Callithrix jacchus: one gene and its partners. The protein of the gene in region 3 binds, or shares a complex with, the protein of the main gene of each other region. Links are inferred from orthologs where the notes say so. Each region holds a gene or a part of one and is shown on either strand. Other genes may lie near its edges.

Evidence for each region.
Region 1: SNRPD1 (region 3) and DHX16 share a complex: the UniProt entries of both Homo sapiens proteins name them as parts of the minor spliceosome. The link is inferred for Callithrix jacchus from reciprocal best matches to the Homo sapiens genes SNRPD1 and DHX16.
Region 2: SNRPD1 (region 3) and SCNM1 share a complex: the UniProt entries of both Homo sapiens proteins name them as parts of the minor spliceosome. The link is inferred for Callithrix jacchus from reciprocal best matches to the Homo sapiens genes SNRPD1 and SCNM1.
Region 4: SNRPD1 (region 3) and SF3B2 share a complex: the UniProt entries of both Homo sapiens proteins name them as parts of the minor spliceosome. The link is inferred for Callithrix jacchus from reciprocal best matches to the Homo sapiens genes SNRPD1 and SF3B2.
Region 5: SNRPD1 (region 3) and CWC27 share a complex: the UniProt entries of both Homo sapiens proteins name them as parts of the minor spliceosome. The link is inferred for Callithrix jacchus from reciprocal best matches to the Homo sapiens genes SNRPD1 and CWC27.
Region 6: SNRPD1 (region 3) and CRIPT share a complex: the UniProt entries of both Homo sapiens proteins name them as parts of the minor spliceosome. The link is inferred for Callithrix jacchus from reciprocal best matches to the Homo sapiens genes SNRPD1 and CRIPT.
Region 7: SNRPD1 (region 3) and SNIP1 share a complex: the UniProt entries of both Homo sapiens proteins name them as parts of the minor spliceosome. The link is inferred for Callithrix jacchus from reciprocal best matches to the Homo sapiens genes SNRPD1 and SNIP1.

The regions. Positions count from the first base shown.
Region 1 is NC_133505.1:35,451,228-35,454,727, forward strand, and holds part of DHX16 (pre-mRNA-splicing factor ATP-dependent RNA helicase DHX16), read right to left. Parts: intron 2,271-3,500; coding exon 2,130-2,270; intron 1,936-2,129; coding exon 1,773-1,935; intron 1,684-1,772; coding exon 1,565-1,683; intron 1,440-1,564; coding exon 1,372-1,439; intron 708-1,371; coding exon 545-707; intron 449-544; coding exon 287-448; intron 10-286; coding exon 1-9. UniProt on the Homo sapiens protein: Required for pre-mRNA splicing as a component of the spliceosome. Contributes to pre-mRNA splicing after spliceosome formation and prior to the first transesterification reaction.
Region 2 is NC_133519.1:11,058,873-11,063,042, forward strand, and holds the start of SCNM1 (sodium channel modifier 1), read left to right. Parts: upstream 1-1,370; 5' UTR 1,371-1,432; coding exon 1,433-1,483; intron 1,484-1,749; coding exon 1,750-1,820; intron 1,821-2,675; coding exon 2,676-2,764; intron 2,765-2,864; coding exon 2,865-2,962; intron 2,963-3,067; coding exon 3,068-3,156; intron 3,157-4,170. Other genes in the region: LYSMD1 (lysM and putative peptidoglycan-binding domain-containing protein 1), read right to left, coding at 379-558. UniProt on the Homo sapiens protein: As a component of the minor spliceosome, involved in the splicing of U12-type introns in pre-mRNAs. Plays a role in the regulation of primary cilia length and Hedgehog signaling.
Region 3 is NC_133514.1:64,593,271-64,596,770, forward strand, and holds part of SNRPD1 (small nuclear ribonucleoprotein Sm D1), read left to right. Parts: intron 1-165; coding exon 166-357; intron 358-2,128; coding exon 2,129-2,205; 3' UTR 2,206-3,500. UniProt on the Homo sapiens protein: Plays a role in pre-mRNA splicing as a core component of the spliceosomal U1, U2, U4 and U5 small nuclear ribonucleoproteins (snRNPs), the building blocks of the spliceosome.
Region 4 is NC_133511.1:123,134,727-123,138,226, reverse strand, and holds part of SF3B2 (splicing factor 3B subunit 2), read right to left. Parts: coding exon 3,428-3,500; intron 3,276-3,427; coding exon 3,138-3,275; intron 2,962-3,137; coding exon 2,881-2,961; intron 2,688-2,880; coding exon 2,460-2,687; intron 1,591-2,459; coding exon 1,441-1,590; intron 478-1,440; coding exon 388-477; intron 280-387; coding exon 172-279; intron 1-171. UniProt on the Homo sapiens protein: Component of the 17S U2 SnRNP complex of the spliceosome, a large ribonucleoprotein complex that removes introns from transcribed pre-mRNAs.
Region 5 is NC_133503.1:144,762,449-144,766,397, forward strand, and holds the start of CWC27 (spliceosome-associated protein CWC27 homolog), read right to left. Parts: upstream 2,801-3,949; 5' UTR 2,594-2,800; coding exon 2,552-2,593; intron 1-2,551. Other genes in the region: protein SREK1IP1, read left to right, coding at 3,215-3,227. UniProt on the Homo sapiens protein: As part of the spliceosome, plays a role in pre-mRNA splicing. Probable inactive PPIase with no peptidyl-prolyl cis-trans isomerase activity. As a component of the minor spliceosome, involved in the splicing of U12-type introns in pre-mRNAs.
Region 6 is NC_133515.1:68,132,468-68,136,700, forward strand, and holds the start of CRIPT (cysteine-rich PDZ-binding protein), read right to left. Parts: upstream 2,801-4,233; 5' UTR 2,702-2,800; coding exon 2,686-2,701; intron 1,265-2,685; coding exon 1,199-1,264; intron 446-1,198; coding exon 391-445; intron 1-390. Other genes in the region: PIGF (GPI ethanolamine phosphate transferase, stabilizing subunit), read left to right, coding at 3,202-3,456, 4,157-4,233. UniProt on the Homo sapiens protein: As a component of the minor spliceosome, involved in the splicing of U12-type introns in pre-mRNAs. Involved in the cytoskeletal anchoring of DLG4 in excitatory synapses.
Region 7 is NC_133508.1:74,105,689-74,109,909, forward strand, and holds the start of SNIP1 (smad nuclear-interacting protein 1), read right to left. Parts: upstream 2,801-4,221; 5' UTR 2,737-2,800; coding exon 2,513-2,736; intron 1,300-2,512; coding exon 1,197-1,299; intron 1-1,196. UniProt on the Homo sapiens protein: Required for pre-mRNA splicing as component of the spliceosome. As a component of the minor spliceosome, involved in the splicing of U12-type introns in pre-mRNAs. Down-regulates NF-kappa-B signaling by competing with RELA for CREBBP/EP300 binding.

The DNA of each region.
Region 1 (3,500 bases), on a different chromosome or scaffold from region 3:
AGTGATGGCCTAAGGGGAAGGCAGGAAAGAAAATCAATGGAAAAGGCAGATATCTGGGGACCCTAAGTGCTCACTACCTTTTTAGTTCAAGCTTTGGGAAAACTAGCGAGGTAGGGAAGGCATGAAGAATCCCCCAGGAATGAACCTTCAGTGGTCTGGGGAAGAAAGCCCTGGGAGGAAATGTGGTACATAAGGGGAAGAGGGCATGTCCTCAGGCTGGAGGAGCTGCTGCATGCCACCAGGAAGCTACTGCGGGTAGAAGGCAGTAGGCAAAAGAAATGCTGACCTTGCGTACACGGATATAGTCCCCCTGGCAGGAACTGAGACCAACTTCTACACGTTCCAAGAGCCCTTCTAGCTGTTCCCGCACATCTCGGGCTCGGCGCATTGATCTGAACTGTACAAAGTTCTCATAGCACCACTGGGAAGAGTAACCACTCTCAGCCCACTGGGAAGAGAGTTAAAAAGAAAGGAGAGGTAGTTAAGTGTACAGCGAGACTGAAGTCCCCCCATGTCTCTTTCCCACTCACCCAAGCCCAGTGACCTGTGTGTAAACGTTTAGCAGAACCAGGTGGTCACCACCAGGAAGGAAGAAGTTGACACGGGCATTGTCAGCATGGACAACCTTGTCCTTTGGCCGGTAGAAGATGGAATTGTTGACAGACAGCATGGCAGCCACTGTCAGGATCTCCTCTGAACAGCTATACCTGGGACAGGAAGGGGAAAGCACGAGTTCAAAGCAAGACACATAAGCACAGATATGGTAGAGGGGGAAGTGACCGCTGTGTGATGGATGTTTCCTCATGTGGGGAAGGCTGGTTGGCATAATGGTTACAAAGCAGCCAGCAGATAGATTCTGGCAGCAGCTTGAGGGTCAAGGAGGTAGGAGCATAGATGAAACACAGTCACAAGGGAGGGATATCCATGGAGGCAGGAGCAGAAAACACTGGGGACTTCTGAGGTTTCTACAGAAAGTGTGCATTCACTATGTGCATTCGGAAAAGATCTCGACAGCAGAGGAATGGCATTTAAAGGTGGTCCCTCCACAGCTACATCTAAATGTTCTAGTTTGAAACCTTGGGAATGAGTAAGTTCCAAAACCAGCCCTCATTCAATAACCCTCCCAGATGGAAAATCTACTTTCGTTCATGACCCAGAATTTTCTGTCAGTCAGTCTTGCCCATTTAGTATAATCAAGGACAGGATCAAGGATCAAGTGTCTTACCCTTGTGGGCCTCAAAAGGGGGCATTCAGAGTTATCTAATAATTTATTATTTATTAAATAATAATATGAAGAGAAAAAGACAAAGAGACAAAGAAGACCCCAGAGACAGAGGAGGCCTGGGGGCCTGGGTGGAGAGGAGGGCTTACTTCTCAGAGGCTAGGATCATTTTGGACAGCATGGGATCCACCGGCAGCTCTGCCATCTTTCGACCAGACTAAGGAGAGAAGACAGAGAGTTGAGCCCGGTCCTCCCTCAGGATTCTCTCCATTGCTATAGGGGTCCCTGGAGCCATCCTGACCCGTATCATCCTGCCCCCACCCATGCTGCCCACCAACTCACCGTGGTGAGCTCCCCAAGGTGGTTGAGGGCTCCCAGGGCATACAGCTGCTCCAAAGCCAGCAGCAGTGTCTCATATGGTGGAGCGTCCAGGAAATCAAAGTGCATTAGGTCATGGATCCCTAGAGAGAGGTGGGAAGGATGGAACAGAATCCCTTCAAAGGACCATGACTCCAGCCCACCTCCCCCTTCTCTCAGGTAGCCCAGTCACCTAAGCTCTTGAGTAGCAACACGACATTGCCCAAGCTAGTCCTCTGGATCTCAGGCACTGTGGTTTCCTCAAGCTCGTGCTGATAGGCCCAGGCAGTATACAGGCGGAAGCACTTCCCTGCAGCCACCCGACCTGCCCTGCCAGCTCGCTGATTGGCTGAGGCCTGGAAAGAAAGGCGAGCAGGCTAGCTGACAATTTGGTTGGGGAAAAGAAAAAGGGCAGTATTTATGCAAGAAATTAAGATGGATGTAAACTGCTCATCCCCGTTTGCTAAGAAGCCCCCACCCTGCTTCTGGAGTTGGACCTTCCCTGTGGACCAATTCTACCTCCCTGACCCCCATGCATCCCCAAGCTGACCTTACTGCAGGGTATGACAGTGAGTGATTCCATTCCTGTGCGGGGGTTATAGCTCTTCTGCTTACAGAACCCTGGATCCAGCACATAAATGATGCCCTCAATGGTAAGTGATGTCTCAGCAATGTTTGTTGCCACAACCACCTGAGTGAGAGGATATGGGGTCACCCAGTGACCCTGCCAACCTCGTTACCCAGAAAAAGTCATCTTGGAAAGTTAGAAGTAGTAAAGCAGTTGCGGTAAGGGGCAGGAGCTGAGGGAATTAGTATCCAAGGTCAAGAGCAAGGGACAAGGACAGAAGACAGGGCAGAGGGAAATGGGGGCTGGGAGTCAGCAGGGGCACAAGGAGGAAAGAAAATGGAGAAGAGGACTTAGGGTGTTAATTTTTTCAGAAGGGGAATGGGAGTGTTCAAGTTCCTGTCCCGTCTTCCTCACCACCACTTCCATCTTCACACAACACTTCCTGTAAGAGCCTTCTAACACATCTCCCTGTTTCTACTCCCAACCTGTCAATGGCATCCAGGATGGTCCTTTTAATATATAAACATGTCATATCACTCCCCATCCTTCAGTGGTTTCCTATCCTACTCTAGAATGCAATCCAATCCCCTTAAAAGCCTGGATCACCTACCCTAGCTGCCTTTCTGACCTCATCTGCTAGCACTCCAACCCCTCCCTCACTCCTCCTGCACACTGCTTTGCTCTGCCCACGTACATGCACTCCTCACTGGATCATTTCATTTGCATCAGCTGTTCCCTCTGTCTGTGGCACTTTTCTCCCAAATATCAGCCTGGCTCCTCCCTCACCTGGTTTGGTCTCTATTCCACTTTCCCTTTACTGAAGGGCCTTCCCTATACCCCAAAACAAATATCTTCATGCCAGTCCTCACCCCCACCTCTCAGGAGTCAAGTTCCATCCTGCTATGCTGCCTTGTATCTCTTCACAGCACTGGCCATAAATTGACATTATGTATTTACGCATCTACTGTTTCCCCAACAGACCGCAAGTACAAGTAGGCTAGGGACTTTGTTTTGTGCATCACTGTATCAACTCATGTGTATCTGGCACCACACAGAAAGAACTCATGAAATATTTGTTGAATGAAAGTTACATCTCTGCTCAAAATCCTTTGATTGCTACTAAGCTGTCTAAAGTCCAAACTTCTCTGGACGTGGTGGCTCATGCCTGTAATCTCAGCACTCTGGGAGGCCAAGGCAGGCAGATGACTTGAGGCCAATAGTTCAAGACCAGCCTGGCCAACATGGCAAAACCCCATCTCTACTAAAAATTAGCTGGTTGTTGGCCGGGCATGGTGGCTCACACCTGTAATCCCAGCACTTTGGGAGGCCAAGGTGAATGGATCACCTGAGGTC
Region 2 (4,170 bases), on a different chromosome or scaffold from region 3:
GAATCCCAAATCTGACACTCATTATTTGACCTTAGTCAAACTGGTTAACCAATCCAAGTCTCAGTTTCTTCATCTGCCAAAAGGAAACAATAAATGTACTTGATAGGGTGTGAGGGTGACATGAGCTAATGTATGTGAAGCCCCCAGCACAGTGTCTGGCATAGTAAAATTGGAGCTGTTCCTCTCCATTGGAATAGTAGGACAGGACTTGTCCCAACCCGGCAGTGCAACACTGTGATGGGAAAACAAAGATAAAGGCAGAACAGGTGTAACACTTTAGGAACTTTTCAGAGGAGTTTACCTAGAAAGGCCACTACATTCTTCTCAGGACTAAATCCCTCCTGACTGTTGTCTGCACCCCAATCCTGGAAAACTCACCGTCACCCCATATTTGAGTGCTAGTCCAGCCAGGGTGTCTCCAGGCTCCAAGTGATGCTCCAGGCGTCTCTCCCTCACTGGGGAGCAGGCCGATTGCACGAGGCTTCCATATGAACGAGCCCGGCTCCCTTGAAGAAGTCCTGACCCCCCTGGGGGGGGCTGTCTAGACGGGGAAGCCATCTCTTCACCCTAACGACAGGTAGGGTTGCAACTGGGGAAGGCCCGGCCGAGACTAAGGGTGACAGGCCTTAAGTCTGGGAATGGATATTCAAGGGATTCCTTTCCCCTTCTCTCTTCCCCTGTGTCCCCGCCTCCCCGGCACTACGCCACCTGCCCCCTCCCGGTTTCTCCTCTCTCCAAGCTTGTTATCCACAAATCTGTCCCTTGAGTATTCAGTCCCTCCCTGAATCTCTCCCCTAAGCACCCCACCGACTGTGAACCCCCCACAACTCCTCGCTACATTGACCTCTGACCTTTGACCTCTAGAAATAATCCTCAACAGTCTTTCCTCAGTTTGCCCCCAAGTCCGGTAGCCTGGCCTCTGGGGGCTCTCGCATCCCGGGTCTGCCCGGTCCCGGGGTTCGTCCGCTAGGGTCAGAAACAAATCAGCCCACCCCAGGTGAACTGTCGCCGCAGATGAAGAGCGCGAAGATTGCGAGAGTCTGTAGTACACCTTCCACTCATCAGAGAGGTCACACCCTCACATTTCGGCTCCACATCTAGCTTCTTGTCCCTCCAAATGCCGCAGATCCGCCAGGATGCGAGGGCCTGGATCCAGCAGAGCGGCAAGCTCTTTGAGAAAAGACTTCATTTCCCAAAAGGCTCGGCGTCTGCAGTGTCGCAGGGCACCATAGGAAATGCAGTTCCCTCCGTGCACCAGCGAGTAGATTTCCGGACGCGCAAAGCCTGTGTGGAAGCGCATCCCCGGAAGTACGGAGGCCGACAGGAAGAGACTGAAAACAGAGAAAGAGTTGTCCCACTCTTGCTACGGTGGCCTGGAGGAGTTGAGAAACCGGAACAAGAGAATTTATCATTTCTGGGACTCACAGTCGTGATGTCTTTCAAGAGGGAAGGAGACGATTGGAGTCAACTCAATGTTCTCAAAGTAAGCGTGAGCAGAGAGGATCCAGGGCAGCTTCAGTCGCTCTCTGAAGGTTGGGAAGGAGCTTTGTTTTGTTGCACTGGCAACAGCTCGGGGGTGCGGGAGAGAAAGAGGCGACTTAGAGCTGGGTAGTGACACCTTTTTCGGTCTATGATCACTATTCTCCCCAGGGTCCTTATTCCATTTGACTCCTCATTTCTCTCATTTCACTTCCATCCGTTTCTCCTATCTGCTGATGCCGTCCGGATTTTTTCCCCTTCTCCCTGCAGAAAAGAAGAGTCGGGGATCTGCTAGCCAGTTACATCCCAGAGGATGAGGCGCTGATGCTTCGGGATGGACGGTAAGAGCGAGGAGTGGCCCAAGCCTGAGGGTTCTATGGTTAGAGGCTCAACAAACAAAAGATAGAGGTCTCTCTGTGTTGCCCAGGCTGTCCTCAAACTCTAGGGCTCAAGTGATCTTGCTTCCTCAGCGTCGCGAGTAGCTGGGATTACAGGCGGGCGCGACCATGCCCGGCTTCAACAAACTTTATTGATTGATTGATTGATTGATTGAGACGGAGTTTCGCTGTTGTTACCCAGACTGGAGTGCAATGGCACGAACTCGGCTCACCGCAACCTCCGCCTTCTGGGTTCAAGCAATTCTCCTGCCTCAGCCTCCCGAGTAGCTGGGACTACAGGCACGCACCATCATGCCCAGCTAATTTTTTTTTTCTTTTGAGACGGAGTTTCGCTCTTGTTACCCAGGCTGGAGTGCAATGGCGCAATCTCGGCTCACCGCAACCTCCGCCTCCTGGGTTCAGCCAATTCTCCTGCCTCAGCCTCCTGAGTAGCTGGGATTACAGGCACGTGCCACCATGCCCAGCTAATTTTTTTGTATTTTTAGTAGAGACGGGGTTTCACCATGTTGACCAGGATGGTCTCGAACTCTTGACCTCGTGATCCACCCGCCTCGGCCTCCCAAAGGGCTGGGATTATAAGCATGAGCCACGGCGCCCGGCCCCAAACTTTTGTTATTAATCAGGACAGCAGGAGTATCTAGGATTCCTTGGCCGGAAGTGAGGATCGGAAGAAGTGGGGATTGGATGACCTGGAGTTGGGCTTTGGAAAGGACTGCTAGGACAGGGTGGGACTTACTGTAGGGACTGGCCCCACCCTCTTCCCCTGGACCAATTATCCTCTTCTCTCCCCCTGCTCAGTTTTGCTTGTGCCATCTGCCCCCATCGACCAGTACTGGACACCCTGGCTATGCTGACTGCCCACCGAGCAGGCAAGAAACATCTATCCAGTAAGTTTGGGGAAAGACAGGGTATGGGGAATAAACCCTCGAAATTTCTGCACACCGCTCTTGGTGCTATGCTTTTAGTCTTGTTTCCCTTTCTCCTCAGGCTTGCAGCTTTTCTATGGCAAGAAGCAGCCAGGAAAGGAGAGGAAGCAGAATCCAAGACATCAGAATGAATTGAGAAGGGAAGAAACCAAAGCTGAGGTAATCAGAATGGAGAGTGTATTCTAGTCAAGACCCTGCTGCACACACCAGGCTGGAAGGGAAGAGGGCTGAAGCCTCTGACTCTGTCTCCCATCTCCTTATCAGGCTCCTCTGCTAACCCAGACACGACTTATCACCCAGAGTGCTCTGCACAGAGCCCCCGACTATAACAGTTGCTGCCGCCGGAAGTACAGGTATGGGAGGGGAAAGCCAGAGGTCGGAAGGCTCAGAAGGAGAAAGATGGCTCTAAAAGTTCTCCAATGTGAGGCCAGGCGCGTGGCTCAAGCCTGTAATCCCAGCACTTTGGGAGGCCGAGGCGGGTGGATCATGAGGTCAAGAGATCGAGACCATCATGGTCAACATGGTGAAACCCGGTCTCTACTAAAAATACAAAAAGTTAGCTGGGCATGGTGGCGTGTGCCTGTAATCCCAGCTACTCAGGAGGCTGAGGCAGGAGAATTGCCTGAACCCAGGAGGCGGAGGTTGCGGTGAGCCGAGATCGCGCCATTGCACTCCAGCCTGGGTAACAAGAGCTAAACTCCGTCTCAAAAAAAAAAGTTCTCCAATGTGTATTCTAAGGAACACTGGTATTCCGGAGATGTTACTTAGTGTTTCAAGAAAAGGAGAATTTTGGCCAGGCACAGTGGCTCATGCCTGTTATCCCAGCACTTTGGGAGGCCGAGGCAGGTGGATCACTTGAGGTCAGGAGTTCAAGACCAGACTGGCCAACATGGTGAAACCCCATCTCTACCAAAAATATAAAAAATTAGCTGGGTGTGTGACGTGTGCCTGTAATCCCCAGCTACTCGGGAGGCTGAGACAGGAGAATCGCTTGAACCTGGGAGGCAGAGGTTGCAGTGAGCCGAGATCATGCCACTTCACTCCAGCCTGGGTGACAGAGTGAGACTCCGTCTTAAAAAAAAAAATGGTGGGGGCTGGGTGTGGTGGCTCTTGCCTGTAATCCCAGCACTTTGGGAGGCTGAGGCGGGTAGATCACAAGGTCAGGAGATCGAGACCATCCTGGCTAACATGATGAAACCCTGTCTCTACTAAAAATACAGAAAATTAGCCAGGCATGGTGGTGGGCACCTGTAGTCCCAACTACTCAGGAGGGTGAGACAGGAGAATTGCCTGAACCTGTCGGGAGGGTGAGAGAGGAGAATTGCTTGAACCCAGGAGTTGGAGGTTGCAGTGAGCTGAGATCATGC
Region 3 (3,500 bases):
TTATTCCCCCATTTACCAGTCGCACGTGCTAAATTGTGTCACAGAAAACTTACACTGTAGCAGAACAGTATTCTTTTGTAGTCCAGTATTTACTGTGGCTTGGTAGATTAATTAGTTGCCTTCCTTGTATCATACTAATAACTGCCCAATTCTTTTCCTCTTGAGGTGTGGATGTCAGCATGAATACACATCTTAAAGCTGTGAAAATGACCCTGAAGAACAGAGAACCTGTACAGCTGGAAACGCTGAGTATTCGAGGAAATAACATTCGATACTTTATTCTACCAGACAGTTTACCTCTGGATACACTACTTGTGGATGTTGAACCTAAGGTGAAATCTAAGAAAAGGGAAGCAGGTAAGTTTGAAGGAATATAAACATTTTTTTGAATGCCAATCCTAATCTACACTACTCATAATATAAATATTTGTAAACAACACAAGTGTCTTTGTTGCTTAATATTTCCTATAGTATGTATTATAACTCCTGGAGTTGCTGTTAAAAACATTGATGTATTTCCTGTTCAAAGGATTTATCATTTTCTGTCCCCTGCCCCCACTTTGGAAGATTTGGAGATGGACTCTTTATTCCTAGTATTCTGAAATTTCTTAATGTCTTGGTATAGGGGCTTCTCATGTCTGTAATTGCAGCTATTTGAGAGGGTGAGGTGGGAGAATTGCTTGAACCCAGGAGGTGGAGGTTGCAGTGAGCCAAGATGCCACCACTGCATTCCAGCCTGGGCAACACAGAGTGAGATCCTGTCTCAAAAATAAATAAATTAAATTAAATTTGTTTTTAGGCTGGATGCAGTGGCTCATACCTATAATCCCAGCACTTTGGGAGGCTGAGGTGGGCGGATCACCTGAGGGCAGGATGAACTCCCAGTCTGATCAGCATGGAGACTCTTTAACAGACCAGCCTGACCAATATGGAAAAACCCCATCTCTACTAAAAGAACTTTGTTTTCTTTTTTTGAGATGGAGTCTCGCTCTTGTCACCCAGGCTGGAGTGTAATGGTATGGTCTTGGCTCACTTCAACGTCCACCTCCCAGATCCAAGCTAATATTCTTCCTCAGCCTCCCAAGTAGTTGGGACTACAGGCTCTTGCCACCACACCCAGCTAATTTTTGTATTTTTAGTAGAGGCAGAGTTTCACCATGTTTGCCAGGATGGTCTTGATCTCTTGACCCCGTGATCTACCCACCTTGGCCTCCCAAAGTGCTAGGATTACAGGCGTGAACCACCAAGCCTTACCTATTTTCTTTCTTTAAAAAGAAAAAGAAGCCAGGCATGGTGGCTTCCAGTACTTTGGGAAGCCCAGATGGGTGGATCGCCTGAGGTCAGAGTTTGAGACCAGCCCGGCCAACATAGTGAAACTCCATCTCTACTAAAAACACACAAAAAAGAGCCGGGCATGGTGGTGGGTCTGTAAAGGCTGGACTGCAGAGTGAGACCCTATATCCAAAAGAAAATTTAGAATGTGACTGTATCAGGATTTTCTAATATTTATAGCTGTCTGAAGATGAAATGTTTATTTGGGTGATGAGTTCTCTGTCATCATGATACTCAACTTGAGTTAGGATGACCAAGTGACAGGGATATTGCTATATGGGTTAAAGCACTAGATTATGTTTGGGTCAAATGAATTTTAATTTTCTGAAGAGTTAATAAGATTGTGATTGATATCATAGTTATAAACTTTCCTGGATTTGAATTAACTTGCTTGGATTTTATTCAGTTACCAGACTCTGGCATCAGGTTATTCATGTTCTATTGATATATCTCTTCCATTTTTTGTGAGGTTCAAATCATTTTATGGTGAATTTGAGACATGATATAAAGAAAACATATTTAAAATTTGACAAATTTCTTAGTAAATAAATTGAAACAAATAATAATCTTCCTAGGCCTTTAGTTCTTGGTTCTGCATGATAATGTGTTGAGGGGGTGGCGGGAAATCTGAAGTCTTAACACATTTAAGAGAAGCTAGTTAAACTTAACTTTACTGTAACTGCTAATAAAGAGCTATAAACGGGGAAAGGTGTCTGTGTGTAAACGCTGTTTGTGGTGGCTAGGTAACATTCATGCAGAAGAGAATTGAATTTGCTTTGTTTTTCTTTTCCCTCAGTTGCAGGAAGAGGCCGAGGCCGAGGCAGAGGAAGAGGACGTGGCCGTGGCAGAGGAAGAGGGGGTCCTAGGCGATAATGTTTCTCATGATTACTGTTTCAAAGTCATATGGGATCTGGGATATTTTTTGTACAGGTTGTGTTTGTTTATGTCAGTTTTTAATAAACATAAATGTGGGACAGAGTGGTCTATTGAGTATATCAGAGTTTTAGTAGTTTCCTCCACATTCATAAGAATACCACAGTGAAAGCTAAGCATTTCTACTGGGCAGTTTCATTTTTAGATGATCAGGCTTTAAGTTTTGAACTAAAATTTTTATTTTTATGATAATAAAAATAAGGTTAAAAGAAAAGCCTCAGACAAATTAAATTTGACAGTTTAATTGAGCAAAGAACAATTCATAAATCAGCCCCTGAACCAGAATCGGTTCAGAGGCTTCAGCCCAGCTGCATAGTTGATGAGGATTTATGGACAGAAGAAGGAAAGAGATGTATGGAAAATGGAAGTGAGATACAGCAACAGCTGGATTAGTTACAGTTCAGCGTTTGCCTTATTTGAATATAGGTTGAACAGTTCGCAGCCTTTGATTGGCTGAAACTTAGTAATTGGCCCAAGAGTAGGGTACCATCTGTTTACATAACCAGTTAGGCTGCAGTTCACTTTGTACTGAGAAACCTTTAGGCTAAACTTAAGATATGTAAAGAGACAACTTTAGGCTAAACTTATATAGAATATATACCCTTTTACTTCACATGCACTGAATGTGCATTTTATTGCTTTACTCTGACATCATTCTGTGGCACCCACCTACAAGGGGAAGTAAGTTCTTTTTGGTATTTCAGAAACTAAAGTCCTTGTGGGATGGGGTCTAAAATTCTCAATTCCTGGGGGGCCGGGCGCGGTGGCTCAAGCCTGTAATCCCAGCACTTTGGGAGGCCGAGGTGGGTGGATCACGGGGTCAAGAGATCGAGACCATCCTGGTCAACATGGTGAAACCCCGTCTCTACTAAAAATAACAAAAAACTATCTGGGCATAGTGGCACGTGCCTGTAATCCCAGCTACTCAGGAGGCTGAGGCAGGAGAATTGCCTGAACCCAGGAGGTGGAGGTTGCAGTGAGCTGAGATCCTGCCATTGCACTCCAGACTGGGTAACGAGCGAAACTCTGTCTCAAAAAAAAAAAAAAAAAAAAAATTTCGCTGTTCCTGAGTTTTACTCCACAGAGTCTAAGGTACTTGGTAAAAAGTTGTCTTCTATATTAAGGGTCATTGCTTTTGTTTTCTAGCTGCTGATTTTTGTTTCTTTTGCTTTTTAATCAGTTCTCAATAGGGTATAGTTTTAATGTTCTCCAAGTTGAAACTTGGAGTTAAATGT
Region 4 (3,500 bases), on a different chromosome or scaffold from region 3:
TAAAAAACAAAAACCATTCTTTGTTTTTCTAGAAACACATGGTATGTGACAAATATGATGTGTCAATAAAAAAGAGACACGTAGTGGAGTCAGAGAAGGAAAACAAAAAAATTACCTTCCAGTTCAAAAGCAGAGACAGCAGAACTGAACAAACAAAATGACAATGCTCACCTCAGGGATGGGCGAGTTCAGCCCAGGGATTTTCAGGTTGGGATACGACGGGGGTGGTCCATATCGCTGCATGGCAATCAGCCATGGGGGAGGGACCTTGTGGGCATTCTGCATGAAAAAGAGAACAGGATACCATCTGCCAAACCCTATCCCTGACTCTGCCTTCTGCCCCAATCCCCACCCTCTTCACTGCTTCCCCAGCCCACTGACACTCACTGGTCCTACTGGCATCCCCAAGGAAATCCTTAGCTCATCAGACAGATCTCCTGGCTTCTTCTCCTTCAGTCGTGTCTCAAACTCCTTCCCCTGAGGGAAAAGCAGAGCATACTGCATTGTAGACCCAGACACTCAGTGGGAGCACAACCGCAAGAGGATGTGAAAACAAAGGCGAGAAGTCCTAACCCACATCAGATAGAAAATCCCACTGAGGGCTAGCTGGCTCCCACTCTGATTCTCATCACTTCTTTCCCTGGCCAAAGTGGGGGAAGGAATATAAACCAGGGCGGAGGGGAAAAGCCCAGATTCCCAGTGCTGTCAATAACCCACTGTGAGAACATGGCCAACGTTAGGACCTGCCTTCTCATCTGTAAAATGAGGGCACTCAAAGGGATAATCTGCATTTAATTCTTCTACCTCATAAATTCCATGACATCATGGTGACTACGATTTCAAGGATCAGAAAATACCAACTTGTCTACCACCCTCAGTGTTAAGTTTCCTAAAAGCATCTTCCCCTTGGCTCCTTCATCCCTAAACCAACAACCACCAACTATTATCATTTCAAAGACAGGATACGAAAAGTCTATCCGACAAAGAAGTCACCAGGTCTGCATCTCTCCTTCAAAAAGGACCTCATTTTTAAAGTCCATCTCATCTGAAGGTAGTCAATGGGCAATTCTAAGGCTGAGGAACTACTGTAGTCACTTCAAAAGCCCTCCTGGGTCAGGTGCAGTGGTTTATTTTGGGAGGCTGAGGTGGGCAGATCGCTTGAGCTCAGGAGTTCTAGACCAACCTGGACAACATAGCGAAACTCTGTCTCTACCAAAAATTAAAAAAGTTGGCCAGGCATGGTGTGCCTGTGGTCCTGGCTACTTGAGGGGCTGAGATGGGAGAACTGCTTGAGCCCAGGAGGCAGAGGTTACAGTGAGCCCAGATCATTCCACTACACTCCAGCCTGAATAACAGGGTGAGACTCCATTTAAAAAAAAAAAGCCCTAGGCAGTCTCAACCCCAAGGCCCAAACTGGCCTCTCCCAGCCCCCTCCCAAACCTCATAGTACAGGTCCCCATGGATGGTCAGCTTTGGCTTGGTCTGCCACTTGAAGAAGGCATCATGTAGTTTCTGGTAGTCAATGTCAATCTTGCCCATTTTAGGCCGAACTTTCTCTCGCATTTTTGACTTCATGGTCTTCTGTTCTTCCTGTGGAGAATGGCAAAAGACAAGCTTTAACAAGTACTCACCAAATTCATGTAGAGAATCCAGCTTCCAGCTCCAAAAGAAATCAAGAGAAGCCTCAATTATGTCACCCTGAAAGTCACCAAGATCGTTCCTGCTCAAACCCTTCAAAACATTATCCATACTCAACAAAATAGACTACACCGTATCAGCCTCAGCTGTGTATACCAATAACTAGTTATTAAACCATCTCACCAAAGCTGAACCTCATCAGTTCTCTGAAAGGCAGAGACTTCCCCATGCTCTTTTGTACCTCCTGAGTCCAAAGCATTTAATTAAAAGCTTTAAAATTAAGAAGTTACAGCTGGGCACAGTGGTTCACACCTGTAAATCCAGCACTTTGGGAGGCTGAGGCGGGTGGATCACGAGGTCAGGAGATCCAGACCATCCTAACATGGTGAAACCATATCTCTACTAAAAATACAAAAAAATTAGCCAAGCATGGTGGCACACACCTGCAGTCCCAGCTACTTGGGAGGCTGAGGCAGGAGAATCGCTTGAACCCAGGAGGTGGAGGTTGCAGTGAGCGGAGATTGCACCACTATACTCCAGCCTGGGTGACAGAGCAAGACTCCTTCTTAAAAAAAAAATGTAAGAAGTTACACAACCACCATCAATCTGTAGCCACAAAGTGCATCTGGGAAACGAGTCACCAGGTGAGCTGGCAAAGTGAAGGCAGAGGAGAGGAAAAGCAGAGGAGGAAAACAAAGGGATAATTAGACAAGTAACAAGTAGGTGGTAGGTGGGTTTCAAACCAGGTTCCCATTTTGCAGCACTCTGCTGTGAATGATGGGGACACCCGAGGGCAAGTGTGAGCCCTGCCAGGACCTCACCTTCTCCTGCAGGGCCTCTCGCATCTCCTGGATGCCTGTGCGTTTGATGAAGTCTGGCAGCTCGAAGGGAGGCTTCTCAATGCCCCGTTTGCCCTGCAGGTACTTGCGCTTAAAACACCAGTGGCGTGGCACAGGCACGGAGTTCCGAGTAGCCTTGAGGTGGACCAAGAGCTTAGGGTCCTGCGCTGTCACATCGTGCATCTCCACGACATCGGGCCGAGCCACCAGCTGGAAAACACACAGGAATGCGTGTGTTGAAAGCCCCAACTTCTCAGGTTTGAAGCTCTTCTTCCCATTCCTCTTCCTCAAAGGACCTATACCCAAATCACCCACAACACTTCCTTCAAAGTTGTCACCTCCCTGGCTTCCCAGGTTGTCTCCCAGCTGGGCTCCAGGGCCCGCAGGATCCTCTCAGTTTCACCTGCTTAAGTTCAGCCACAGTGAAGCGGTTCATTCGGCGCAACTTCTTCTTGGACAGCTTGGGGGCTTCTGGCTTCTTTTCCTAGAACGGAACAATCACCTCTTTCGAGCAGGACTCAGATGTGAATGAAATTGCCCAACCCACCCCAACCTTAAGCCACCGAAGCTCTTCAAGAGTTCACCATGGTCCCTCTCTGGATGCCTCTCAGCCACCTGTGCCCAGAGTCCCTGCTTTCCGCCAGGACAGCCAGACCTGACCTGCTCGTCATCACTGCTGTCGTCATCACTGTCCTTGTGCTCCTCCTCAAAGCCCTTCTTCTTGGGGGCTGCAGAGTTCTCCAGTTTGTCAAGTTTCTCTGGCTCCTTCTCCTTCTCCTTCTTCACGTCATCAGTGAGCTGAGGAGGCAGACAAAGTGAAACCCCTGCCATCTGGGTCCCTTCCCAGTTCCTAAAACCAGCACTGAAAAGATGCCTGTTCCCTGCCTCTCACCCACCTCTGAGCCCCTTCCCTGTTTGGCACTGCCCCTTTCAAGTGTGCTCTTTTGTACCTTAAAAGCTTCAAAGATCCTCTTAAAGAAGATAAAGTTGGGCTCATAAATTTCTGGTTCTTCAGTCACATAC
Region 5 (3,949 bases), on a different chromosome or scaffold from region 3:
AATACCTAGGAATACAACTAACAAGGAACGTAAAGACCTCTTCAAGGAGAACTACAAACCACTGCTCAACGAAATAAGAGAGGACACAAACATATGGAGAAACATTCCATGTTCATGGTTAGGAAGAATCAATATCATGAAAATGGCCATATGCCCAAAGTAATTTACAGATTCAACGTTATCCCCATCAAACTACCAATGAGCTTATTCACAGAACTGGAAAAAACCACCTTAAACTTCATATGGAACCAAATGAGAGTCCGCATAGCCAAGTCAATTCTGAGTAAAAAGAACACAGCGGGAGGCATCACCCTACTGGACTTCAAACTATACTACAAGGCTACAGTAATCAAAACAGCATGGTATTGGTACCAAAACAGCGATATAGACCAATGGAACAAAACAGAGGCCTCGGAGGCAACACAACAAATCTACAACCATACAATCTTTGATAAACCTGACAAAAAGAAGCAATGGGGAAAGGATTCCCTGTTTAATAAATGGTGTTGGGAAAAGTAGCTAGCTATGTGCAGAAAGCAGAAACTGGACCCCTTCCTGACACCTTACACTAAAATTAACTCCAGATGGATTAAAGACAAACATAAGACCTAACACCATAAAAACACTAGAAGAAAATCTAGGCGAAATTCAGGACATAGGAGTAGGCAAGGACTTCATGACCAAAACACCAAAAGCATTGGCAACAAAAGCCAAAATAGAAAAATGGGACCTAATCAAACTCCATAGTTTCTGCACGGCAAAAAAAAACAGTCATTAGATTGAATAGGCAACCAACAGAATGGGAAAAAATTTTTGCAGTTTACCCATCTGATAAAGGGCTGATATCCAGAATTTACAAAGAACTAAAACAGATTTACAAGAAAAAAACAAATAAGCCCATTCAAAAGGAAGTGAAGGATATGAACAGACACTTTACAAAAGAAGACATACATGTGGCCAACAAACATGAAAAAATGCTCATCATCACTGGTTATTAGAGAAATGCAAATCAAAACTACATTGAGATACCATCTCACGCCAGTTAGAATGGCGATCATTAAAAAATCTGGAGACAACAGATGCTGGAGAGGATGTGGAGAAATAGGAACACTTTTACAGTGCTGTTGGGAGTGTAAATTAGTTCAACCATTGTGGAAGACAATGTGGCGATTCCTCAAGGACCTAGAAATAGAAATTCCATTTGACCGAGCAATCCCATTACTGGGTATATATCCAAAGGAATATAAATCGTTCTACTATAAGGACACATGCACACGAATGGTCACTGCAGCACTGTTTACAATAGCAAAGACCTGGAATCAACCCAAATGCCCATGGATGATAGACTGGACAGGGAAAATGTGGCACATATACACCATGGAATATTATGCAGCAATCAGAAATGATGAGTTCGTGTCCTTTGCAGGGACATGGATGAACCTGGAGAACATCATTCTCAGCAAGCTTACACAAGAACAGAAAACGAAATACCGAATGTTCTCACTCATAGGGGGGTGTTGGACAATGAGAACACATGGACACAGGGAGGGGAGCACTACACACTGGGGTCTATTGGGGAAAATAGGGGAGGGACAGCGGGGGGTGGGGAGTTGGGGAGAGATAGCATGGGGAGAAATGCCAGATATAGGTGAAGGGGAGGAAGGCAGCAAATCACACTGCTGTGCACCTATGCAACTATCTTGCATGTTCTTCACATGTACCCCAAAACCTAAAATGCAATAAAATAAATACTTTAAATATATAAATAAATAAAAATTCAGGTGATACTTATTCTACAACTGACTCTTCTGCCTTGTACTGTATACAAACACCTTGGATGGGAATTGGCATACATTAGCCATTAAATCAATCAGAGAAACATTTTTCCATTCTAATGTGGTAATATTCCCCATTTCCCCCTTTCTCTGAATGACAGTCATCTCAGGTTTTAAAACCAGCTCAAAAGATAGCTTCTCCATGATGCTTTTCCTAACTTTCCCAATTGTTCACTACTCAGTATTACCATAGTAACATGGTCTCTTCTCTACAAGCACTCTTATCAGACATACAAGGCTTTTGTTTACCTGCCTGTCTCTAAACTGTAAGCTCTTCCTGGAAAACTACCTTACCTATGCCTCTTTGTATCTCCGGCGCCTAGTACAGTGCCCAGTGGCTAGCAGGCGTTCAATTAATGACTGTAGAAGAAATGGAGAATTAATGACCTCCAAGTTAAGCAAAGAATATATCAAACTCAAAAATGTACTTTTAAAAACTTAAGGCCCTAGATATAGGCTGCGTGAGTTGGGTTAAGGCAGAAAATATGACCGGAACGCTGCTGGATAGGGAAATCTCCACTTGACTTTTTCAAGTACATGCTGAGAAGTACCAGCTTCAGTGTTTCGATGCAACATTGTCCACAGGAAGAAGTAAAGACAACACTTCTCGTGGTCTCTTCCTACCACAAGATCCCTGAACCCATTCCCCACCCCAAATCCGGGAAATCTCATTTTGGGGATCTCAGGGCCCCAAGTTCCCTAGATGAAGCTCTCACCTTCCCATTCGTGGGAGGCTCCTGGATGTAGATGTTGCTCATCGCGATCAGTACTAAGGACTCTGCTCCTTATGGGGGATGAGAGTGGACGGCGGGTCACGAAAGCTGTCCGCCTACGAGCACACTCTTCGTTAAGTCGAGTGGTCCAGGAAAGCTTCAGTTTGTCAACATCACGCAAGACAGGAACACCAAACACTACCTTTGCCCAAAACAACCCCTCTCGGACGCCGCCATGTTGTTATCGGACCCGAGCACCGCTAATGCTGAGAAGGGTGATTCCAATGTACTCCTGGGTACAAAAAAAAGTCTGTAAAGCTACTATGGCTTAATGTAATTTGTATTACAACATTAGAAGAGGCACTTCGTAAGTTTTGGCGGTGTTTACTTCACTACTTGCGTGTGCAGATCGCACTCAGCACCCCCCAAAACTAACAGTAATGGTCCGGACCATGTGTCTTCTGCAATATGACTCGTCCGGAAACCGCATCTGCGTCTACTGGTTCTGTTGTCGCTAGAGGCTTACAGGGCCTTCCGACTGTAGCGAAGGTGCTGCCGCTCTGGGGAAGGCAAACGCCGCTTTGGCTGTGCCTTGTCCTCGCAGCTGGCGGGAAGCAAGCGCCTTTTCGAAAGCCGGAGGCTGCAGTGACCCCTGTCACCACCGTCATGGCGGTCCCAGGTAAGGAGCCACTGCGTCCGAGCTCGGAAGGGAGCGCAAGGGAGGATAGGGTAGGGTGCAGGATGTAGGGAGCAGCGCCCATGGGGATTTAGGTGGAGGCCTTAAAATTCATGAGTTTGTTTTGTTTACGTGAAAAAGTTTACAGTCCAAAGAAAAACTCTGAAGGAAAGAAAGTAACTATCTTCCTCCCCCCGCAACTGCATGGGATTACAGGGAAAGTATATCGTGGAAGGGAGGGAGAAGGGAGAGACTGTAATTGTAGGCCTAAGGGGGCAGGCGGCCAAGAAAAACTACCTTAACTGTGGTATGGCTTTAAAATAGAATTTGAAGTGGAAACACTTGGCCGACTCAGGTAACCGGAGCCATCGTTTGTCTTAGAAGTCGCTAGGACCTGCCGGGTGTCTGGGTTCTACTCCTAGCCTTTCCTGTTGTAGGTAGCTGCTCTGTGGCCACAGATTGGTCTCTTTGTGCTTCTGGGCCTCAGTTTTCTTATAAAAACATGGAGCTTTGTTGAATGATGTATAAGATTTCTTCTGAGTCTCAAATTCTGTGTCCAGAAGTTACTGCCCTAAAAATGGTGAACTCGCAGAATAATTAAAAGATTTTCTCGTCCTCAACTACTAGCTTACTTGGAAGTTCTAGTAGGGGAGTGCATCTCCTTAAACCGGCTTTGCGAACACTGGTTGCAGGAGATATTTTCAGGAATATACACTCCTCCACCC
Region 6 (4,233 bases), on a different chromosome or scaffold from region 3:
AGGCTGATTAGGGAAACCTCTCCGAGAAAAGACCCTTCAGCTGAGACCCAAACACCAAGGAGCCAGATACGTAAGCTCTCAGTAAAGACCTCGAGGACACAGCAGCAAGGACAAATCTCTTTGGATGGGGGAGGCTTGGCAGAACCAATGAGGATGGCATATGATGAATGAGGAGGAGTATGGTACAATATGAAGTCAGAGGGGGACATACAGTAAGGAGGAATAAGGTAAAACCAGCAGGTTATAACAAATAGCTTGGTTCTGAGTGCCAGGAACCACCTAACTCTATGTTTTATTGCAATTGGAATGATGCACATCAAATTCACTCCAGTAGGCTTAACATTAAAAGAGTGAAAATTATATGACTTCTCTATGGATCCTCTTACCCACCTTGCTTTTTTTGAAGTCAAAGCTTTATTTTCATTCAGCTTTCTTCCACCACTTTCTGTATCAAAATAGAAGTTATTTTAAAGGGTTACTTCTATACATTTAACATATAACATTAAGAAGTTCATTCTCTGACTTTCTGCCAAACTAGTAGCCTATATCTAATTTTTAAATCTTCATTTAACAGTCAGGTTATTAAGACGCTGCTTAAAAAGAAAACATTTATTAGAGAAACAATAAAAATTTGTATAAAATACAATCATTTTATTTTTCAGACTCAAGGTAGTACCTTAGGAATGGGTCTATATTTACTTGATATACTGTAAAATCTAGAACCCACTACTTCAGTGTCATAGACCTTGAATGTCTATGTTTCTTTTCTTTCCCTTCGAAAACATACTTTATGTATTTAATGATAATGAAGGTAAATACTTCACTGTAAGTAATTAATGATAATGAAGGTAAAATGGGTTAAAGGATTTATTCAAGAATATAAAAACCAGATTTAAAAAAATTTCTCCTCAGAAGAGCGGAGAAATTAAATGCAGTCTCTAAATAAGCTGAATCAAATCAAATATTATGATACTGTCACCACTTGACAATCATTTAATAATTTTGCTATCTCCTGATGTTAGGAACCTGTACAAGTAACAGAACTAAGTAGAAGATATTAAATAACTTGGGGACCCAGGATTCTTTCATGTTTAATAGACAAAATACTTTGAACACATTTCATTTTACAAATAACGTAAAAGATAAAATATTCACAGGAGTCTCTGGTTAAATTCCTATTTTCTAAAAGAAGAAATACCTGTGGTATTCCTAGCACCATCTTTCCATGTATCTGGAGTGATAACAGTACCAAGTTTCTTTTCACCTGTTATAATAAGATAGTAAAAAGCAATTTAAAATTTAGTATTTCATAAGTGCATCACATTGTGCCTAAGGTTCACAATGGTATCAACAGTCCTATTACTGCAGGAGCCTGTTAATGCTGGGAGAGCAGTCAGTGAACTGAGACTTGTATTAACTGTGGGCAATGAATGACTGATCCACAGTAAAATCCGTAGGATAATAAGATGGCTTATAATAAGCTTTCTCTGTTTGTTTATACTTTAAACAAATCTGGCAAGTCTATTTGTTCCATACATATTTACTAAGCATCTATGATGTATAAACTATACAAATTACTGAAAAAAATAAGTGATGAATCAGACAAAATTTTAAAGAGATTATAGTACAGTAGTTTAACAGCAATCTTTAATCTATGTTCCACAGGTCGATCTTAAGAGATATGTGAACAAGGCAGAATTGTACACAAACCTTTTATATATCTTTTTTTTTTCTTTCCTGGCAAGAGTCTATAGCTTTCTTCAGATTCTCAGAGAGAACCTGAGAATCATTCAACCAAAATATAAGCTAAAAATTAAACGGTGTAATAATTGAGAGCTAAAGTACTAGGTGAAATTCCATGCAGGAAGATATAACCCTGGCTAAGGAAATCCAAGAAAGTTTGGGGAGAAGGCAAGAGAGAGGATTTGAATATGTGGCAATAGGACTGTGAACAAAAAGGAGTAAAGAGGATAAAGGCAGACTGATAAAGGACACATTCTGAGGAAAGGCATGGAAAGCTCCGAGTACACATGGGCACAAAGGGTAGTTACGTTTGGTCAAAGTGTGAAGAGGGTAAGGATCAGTGAAGATGAAGCTGGAAAAATAAGTTGGGGCCTTATTGCGGAGGGTCCTGAACGTCAGGCTCCAAATACAGAATCCCCACATTGTTCTCTGCACACTGAGAATTTATTAAAGGTGTTAAATTAGGGAAATAGTAACTTGCACTTGCGTTGATGTTCAATTCACACATCTTCTGGGCTTACTCTAAGCCATATTCTGGCATAATGACTAACAGGAATGAGTAAGACGAGGTCCTTGGTCTTTGGTTCTAGTGTGTTACATGAATAAAAAGGAAAGGTCAGGAATTGCAAGAGGGAAAGGTGTGATTGGGGTTTAACTGAACATTTTTATACGGGAGGGGAGCTGATGAGATCTGGAGCTGGGGGAAGGCAATGGAAATAGACAAGGAGATGCAGAACTAAGACCATTCTGAAAACAAAATATACTATAGGACTATATGGTCTTTGGGGAGGTGCAAAAATGGTCAAAGGGTAGAGCAGAAGGACAGCGACTAGAATCAAAGATGTGGGCGAAGAAAAAACAAAAGAGAAGGCAGAGTTCCCGGGAGAGTTCATTTAGGTTCCCCCAGTTTCTTCCTCCCGCAGGAGGAGCCCCTTAACTCACATTTTTCGCAGACCATCCTTCCCCACGACGGTTCCCCTAGCCGCAACAGCAGCAGCAGCAGCAGCAACAGCAGCCCGAAAACATCAAAACTAAAACCCGGACGGCTTCCCCTTCCGGGCTACGTCAACCCACTTCCGGCTTCTAAGCACGCCGCTCCGGTCTAGCCCAAACTTGGAAGGCCGCGGGAGGAATGAACGGGAGCGTCTAGGCGGGGCTGCCCCATCTGCCCGCCCCTCTCTTTCTGCTACTGGCTATGCGGCCCTGGATCTCCGCCCCTTAACCCTGCGCTTGCGGGTGGGCCTGGGTAGCACGTCGTACCTGATGGTAGGAGGCAGTAGTTCCCCGCTTCCCTTCCGCGGGTGGGAGAGTTAGGTAAGCCCCAATGTACGCCCCCGGCGATCTCGCCCCCCGGGGTGCAAGCCACCCCCGCGAACTGCCGTAGCAGCCGTGAGCCTTGGCGTCCCGGCCCGCCCGCTCTCGCCCTCAGCTCGAGCGCCACTCTTCCGGCGTGCTCTGATGGACAGACCCCCCCTTTCGGATCCGAGTTTCTGCCTCTGTCCCCCAGTTTTCCCTTGTCTCCAACTCCCGTGCTCTTTGATCCTGCCTCTCTGCTGGTTCCTGGCTGTCGACGCTCGCGCCGGCCTAGGCTCGGGCAGAATCCCGAGCGACCCAGGTTGGGGTGGGGCTGCCAGTGAAGGTGCGGCGATGCCCGCGAGGGCTCCTCTGGGGGCCGCTCGGAAGCGCCGTCTCTCTGCTGCGGTGCCTAGCGAGGTGGGCCAGGTCATACCCGTGGCACCCTTGTAGGTGTCCTGGGGGCACGCCAGGGCCTAACACGGTGTGGGTTTCCCAGGAGAGTTAGTTTCCCACTTTACATACTCTGGTTCCTTCATTCGTTCAGCAAACATTTGAGTTTGGTTCCTGCTTATTGTAGGAGCATCTCCTGTTGGCAGCTGCGATTCCGAGGGTGGCTCAGAAAAATGGATGAAGGGTTTGTTGTGAGGATGGATTCCTGATGATTGCCCTCCCTCAATCAGCTTAAGATAGAATCTATAGGAAACTTTCCCTTTGTCCCTTCTTGCCATCCGTTTCCTTCTCCATCCCTTTATTTCGTTGTACCAGAGAGAGGGCTGTAGCTCTTGAGAACTTGGACCTCCTTACCTGTTTGTCGTGTTTCCTTATCAGTAAAGTATCTGCCTTTGAAAAGCATTGGGTGAATTAAGTGAGAGCAATTTTTTAAATTGCATTTTAGGTTTTGGGGTACATGTGAAGAACATGCAAGATTGTTGCATAGGTACACACGTGGCAGTGTGATTTGCTGCCTTTCTCCCCTTCACCTATTATAAGGTCCAGGTGTTTTGAAACAAATACATTGCCCATAGGAAATTGACTTTATGACTTATTTGTAGGGGTTGAAACATTTTGGACAATGGAAAAAGTCATTATTGCATATGCTCTTCTTGTTTTTTATTAGCTAGCCACCCAGGAAAACACCATGAAAGATACCGATATCAAAAGACTACTGTATACCCATCTTTTATGCATATTTTC
Region 7 (4,221 bases), on a different chromosome or scaffold from region 3:
GTGCCCTCCAAAATTAGCTTGTTGAAGTACCAAACGCAAGTACCTCAGAATGTATTAATAGCCGTATTTGGAGATGAGGTCTTTACAGAGCTGATTAAGTTAAAATGAGCGTAGGGCCCTAATTCAATATGGCTGAGAAAAGACACCAGGACAGGAGAAAGATCATGTGAAGATGTAGTAAAAAGGTAGCCATCTACAAGCCAAGGAGAGAGGATGTTTTTCAGGAGAATCCAGACCTGCTAACATCCTCATCTTTGACTTCTAGCCTCCAGAATTACAAGAAAATGAATTTCTGTTGTTTAAACCACGTACTCTATGGCATTTCATTATGGTGGCCCTAGTAAACTAATACAGCCACTCTGGAAAACAGTCTGGTAATTGCTTAAAAAAATTAAACCTGCAACTACCATACAATCCAGCAATTGCACTTCTGAGCATTTATCCCAGAGAAATGAACTCTTATGTTCGCATATAATCCTATACACAAATGTCTATATAGCAGCTTTATGTGTAATAGCCAAAAAATGGAAACAAGCCAGATGTTCTTTAATGAGTGAGTGGCTAAATCCATGCTATTGGATATCACTCAGAAATAAAATGGAACAAACTACTGAGAGATGCAACCTGAATCAATCTCTGAAGGATTCTGCTGAGTGAAAAAAAGACAATCCTAAATTAGGTTACACATTGTATGATTCCATTTATGTAATATTCTTGAAATGAAAACATTACAGAAATGAAGAACAGATTAGAAGTTGCCAGAAGTTAAAGAATGATAAAGGTGGGAGATGAGTGGGTGTGGCTACAAAAGGAGAACAGGAGGTATTCCTTGTGGTGAAGGAAATGTTATCTTGACTATACTGATGTCAATATTCTGATGGTGATGCTGTACCACAGTTCTGTTATGAATAGATGTTACCACTGGGAGAAACCAGGCAGAGTATATCTCTCTGAATTATTTCTGACAACTGCATGTGAACCAACAATAATCTCAAAATAAAAAGGTGAATTTCAGCAAACAAGCAGAAAAAAAGAAATATACCCAATTTTCAGAAAAGCCCATTGGAAGTACAAGTAGAAATGTAGGCGAGTGTGCGTGCACACACACACACAACACACATACACAGCCCTCTCTAGCTATGATAGGAAAAGGCTCTCTATGTGGCCCCAACATCAAAACACCCCAATCCACTTACCTGCTTCACTTTGACTGTTGAGTGGTGAGGACTTCGGGTCCTCTTACTCCGAGGAGACTTGCTTCTTCTCCCTGAGGACTTGTTTTTCTTTTTGGGTGGGGACCTATACAAAGCATGGTACATACAGGATTTTACTCAATTTCCCTTCCCCCATAAAAATTAGCTTCCAGTATCAGGCTTACATACTAACACAAACACCACATTTGTGAAGGTCTCTGACAGACACATTATAGTCACGAGGTTCACTTTCCTAGCCCTAACATCTCCCTCGCATTCCACACTCACAAAGACAACTCTCTACTGAACCTTCTCACTTAGATAACATAGCTCTTAGTTCCCAAGCCTTCAAAAACCTTTCCTCTCCTACTCTTTGCCATCTTGTTAATTGGCATCACCATCCAGAAGTCACCTTTGACTCTTTACCCCTCACTACCAACACCCCTACCATCAATAACAATTTATCCATCCTGTGGTTCTGCTTCCTGCCTATACCATCTCATTCCTACCACCCACCTGCTTGACCACTATACTCCACTGACACTGGCTTTTTCCCATTTCAATCATGATTCATTCTACTTCAAGTGCTTTGCACATGTTGTTTCCTCTGCCTGGATCTTTCAGAGGCTGGATCATTCCTATCAGTCAGGTCGCAGTTCAAATGGCACCTCTTTAGAGGCCTCCTCCCTCTTCTCTCCAATCTCTCACTATCACAGTACTGTTTTAACCTGTCAATAATACTTGTTACTAACTGAAACCCACTTTATTTATTTCTTGTTATTGTCTGTCTCAGGGCTAGATTTGGAAACGGTGAAGACCATCTAACTGAATCACCCTTGCAGCCCCAAAACCTAGGGCAGTCTTTTAACACTTAACAGGCACTCAGTAAAACTACGCTGAAGGAACGCATAAATCTATGTGAACTTTTTTTTTTAGTTTCTGTCGACGTGAAAACTTTTTGGGCAGGTAATTGTAAAGACAACGCCCGCACTCCATTCCTCCATTCGGGATGAGGAGAATCTCATTCCAATTTAACAGATTATCTGTGCTACCTGCTGAGCCACACTTTGCAAAGTGCTGGGGACACAAGAATGGAGGGACGGGATCCTGCCAGTTAGGCATTAGGCGTTGAACACCGAGCTATCATGCAAGTGACTGAGCAAGCATAACACAGGCACGACTGGATCACTCTCAACCGCCTCTGGATTAGGTCCGGGCTAGCTGCGCCCAGCATTCAAAACCCGTTTCGGACGCTAGCCCTGCCCGCCTTTCTGAATGAGCCCAACCCTAGGTCCATCCTGGGCTGCTCCCCCACTTACCGGCTAACTCCTCGGGCTCGGTTCCCGCGGTGGCCCGGGCGGCTCGGCTCGCTGGCCGGCGGGGAAGGGCTACCGCCGGAGTGGTCCGGACGACGGTGGGCGGGAGGGGCGGCTTCCGGGCTGAGACGCTCCTGCTTCACCACCACCGTCGCCGGCAGCACCACATCCACGTCCCGGTGTCTTCGCCGGCTCCCTCGCTCCCGTTCGCTCTTCACCGCCTTCATTCTGTGATTTTGCCTGAGCGAAAGAAAACAGATCCGTTGAGCTCCTCTAGCTGAAGGAAATGACGTGTTTGACTCCTGGATTTCCGCTTCCGGGGTGCCCCGGTTCCCATATATCTTCGCGGCAGAGAGATTAAACAGGTGACGACTCCCCAGTGAGCGTGGTCAGTGACTAGGTTTGGTGGCAGGAGTTTCGGGTTTCAAAAACAAACTTCTGGCCTGGCGCGGGGGCTCACGTCTGTAATCCCAGCACTTTGGGAGGCCGAGGCTGGCGGATCACCTGAGGTCAGGCGAGCATCCTCGCCAACACGGTGAAACCCCGTCTCTACTAATGATACAAAACAATTAGCTGGGCATGGGGGCGTGCGCCTGTAATCCCAGCTACTCGGGAGGCTGAGGCAGGAGAATCGCATGCACCCGGGAGGCGGAGGTTGCAGTTGCAGTGAGCTGATTGCGTCACCGCACTCCAGTCTGGGCTACAAGAACGAAACCGTCTCAAAAAAAAAAAAAAAAAAGAGCAGGGCTGGGCGTGGTGGCTCACGCCAGCACTTTCGTAGGCTGAGGCAGGCGGATCACTTGAGGTCGGGGGTTCGAGACCAGCCTGGCCAACACGGTGAAACCCTGTCTCTACTAAAAATACAAAAATTAGCCTGGTATGGTGGTGCAAACCTATAATCCCAGCTATTTAGGAGGCTGAGGCAAGAGAATCGCTTGAACCCAGGAGGCGTAGGTTGCAGCGTGCGGGGATTGCACCACAGCACTTCAGCCTGGGTGACAGAGACATCACAAAAAAAAAAAAAAAACCTGGAAAAAAGCAAACTTCTCAAGGCTGTTTGTTGCCACGTTATTAGTAATTACAAAACGTGAAAACAATGTAAATGCTCAGCAATAGGGAAGTTAGCCAAATTAATGGGTGTTATGTGGCCATTAGTAAACCATTTACAAACTCTAAAACATGTTAACGATAAAGCAGGATACAAAATTGTGCACAAACTGTAATTACATTTACATTTGGAAATAGAAGGGAGAAAGAAATGGAAATGCAATCAGAGATGAGAACCCATGGTCAAATCATTAGCGTTTCCTCTTCTGTTTAATAAACTTTCTGCAATGCTGTTGGGGCTCAGAAACTGAAACCCCAAAATAAGGCACATTGACTTGCTGAACTGAAGAAGCCTCGATGTTCCTTCCTTGAATCCACCGTCTCTCCCAAAGCACAGGACTTTATCTGTCTAATATCCAGACTACCAAAAGGAATAATTGTTTCTTTCTTCTCCTCCCAATAATGTAATCACACCTGACCAGAGACCCTTATACTGTCAAAAGAGCTATTTACAGCTAAGTACAGTGGCAGCAGCCTGTAATTCCAATGCTTTAGAAGTGCAAGACAGGAAAATCGTTTGAAGTCAGGAGTTCGTGATCAACCTGCCCAATATAGCAAGACTCTGTCTCTATAAAAAATTAAATTGTCAGGGACTGTTGCCTCGA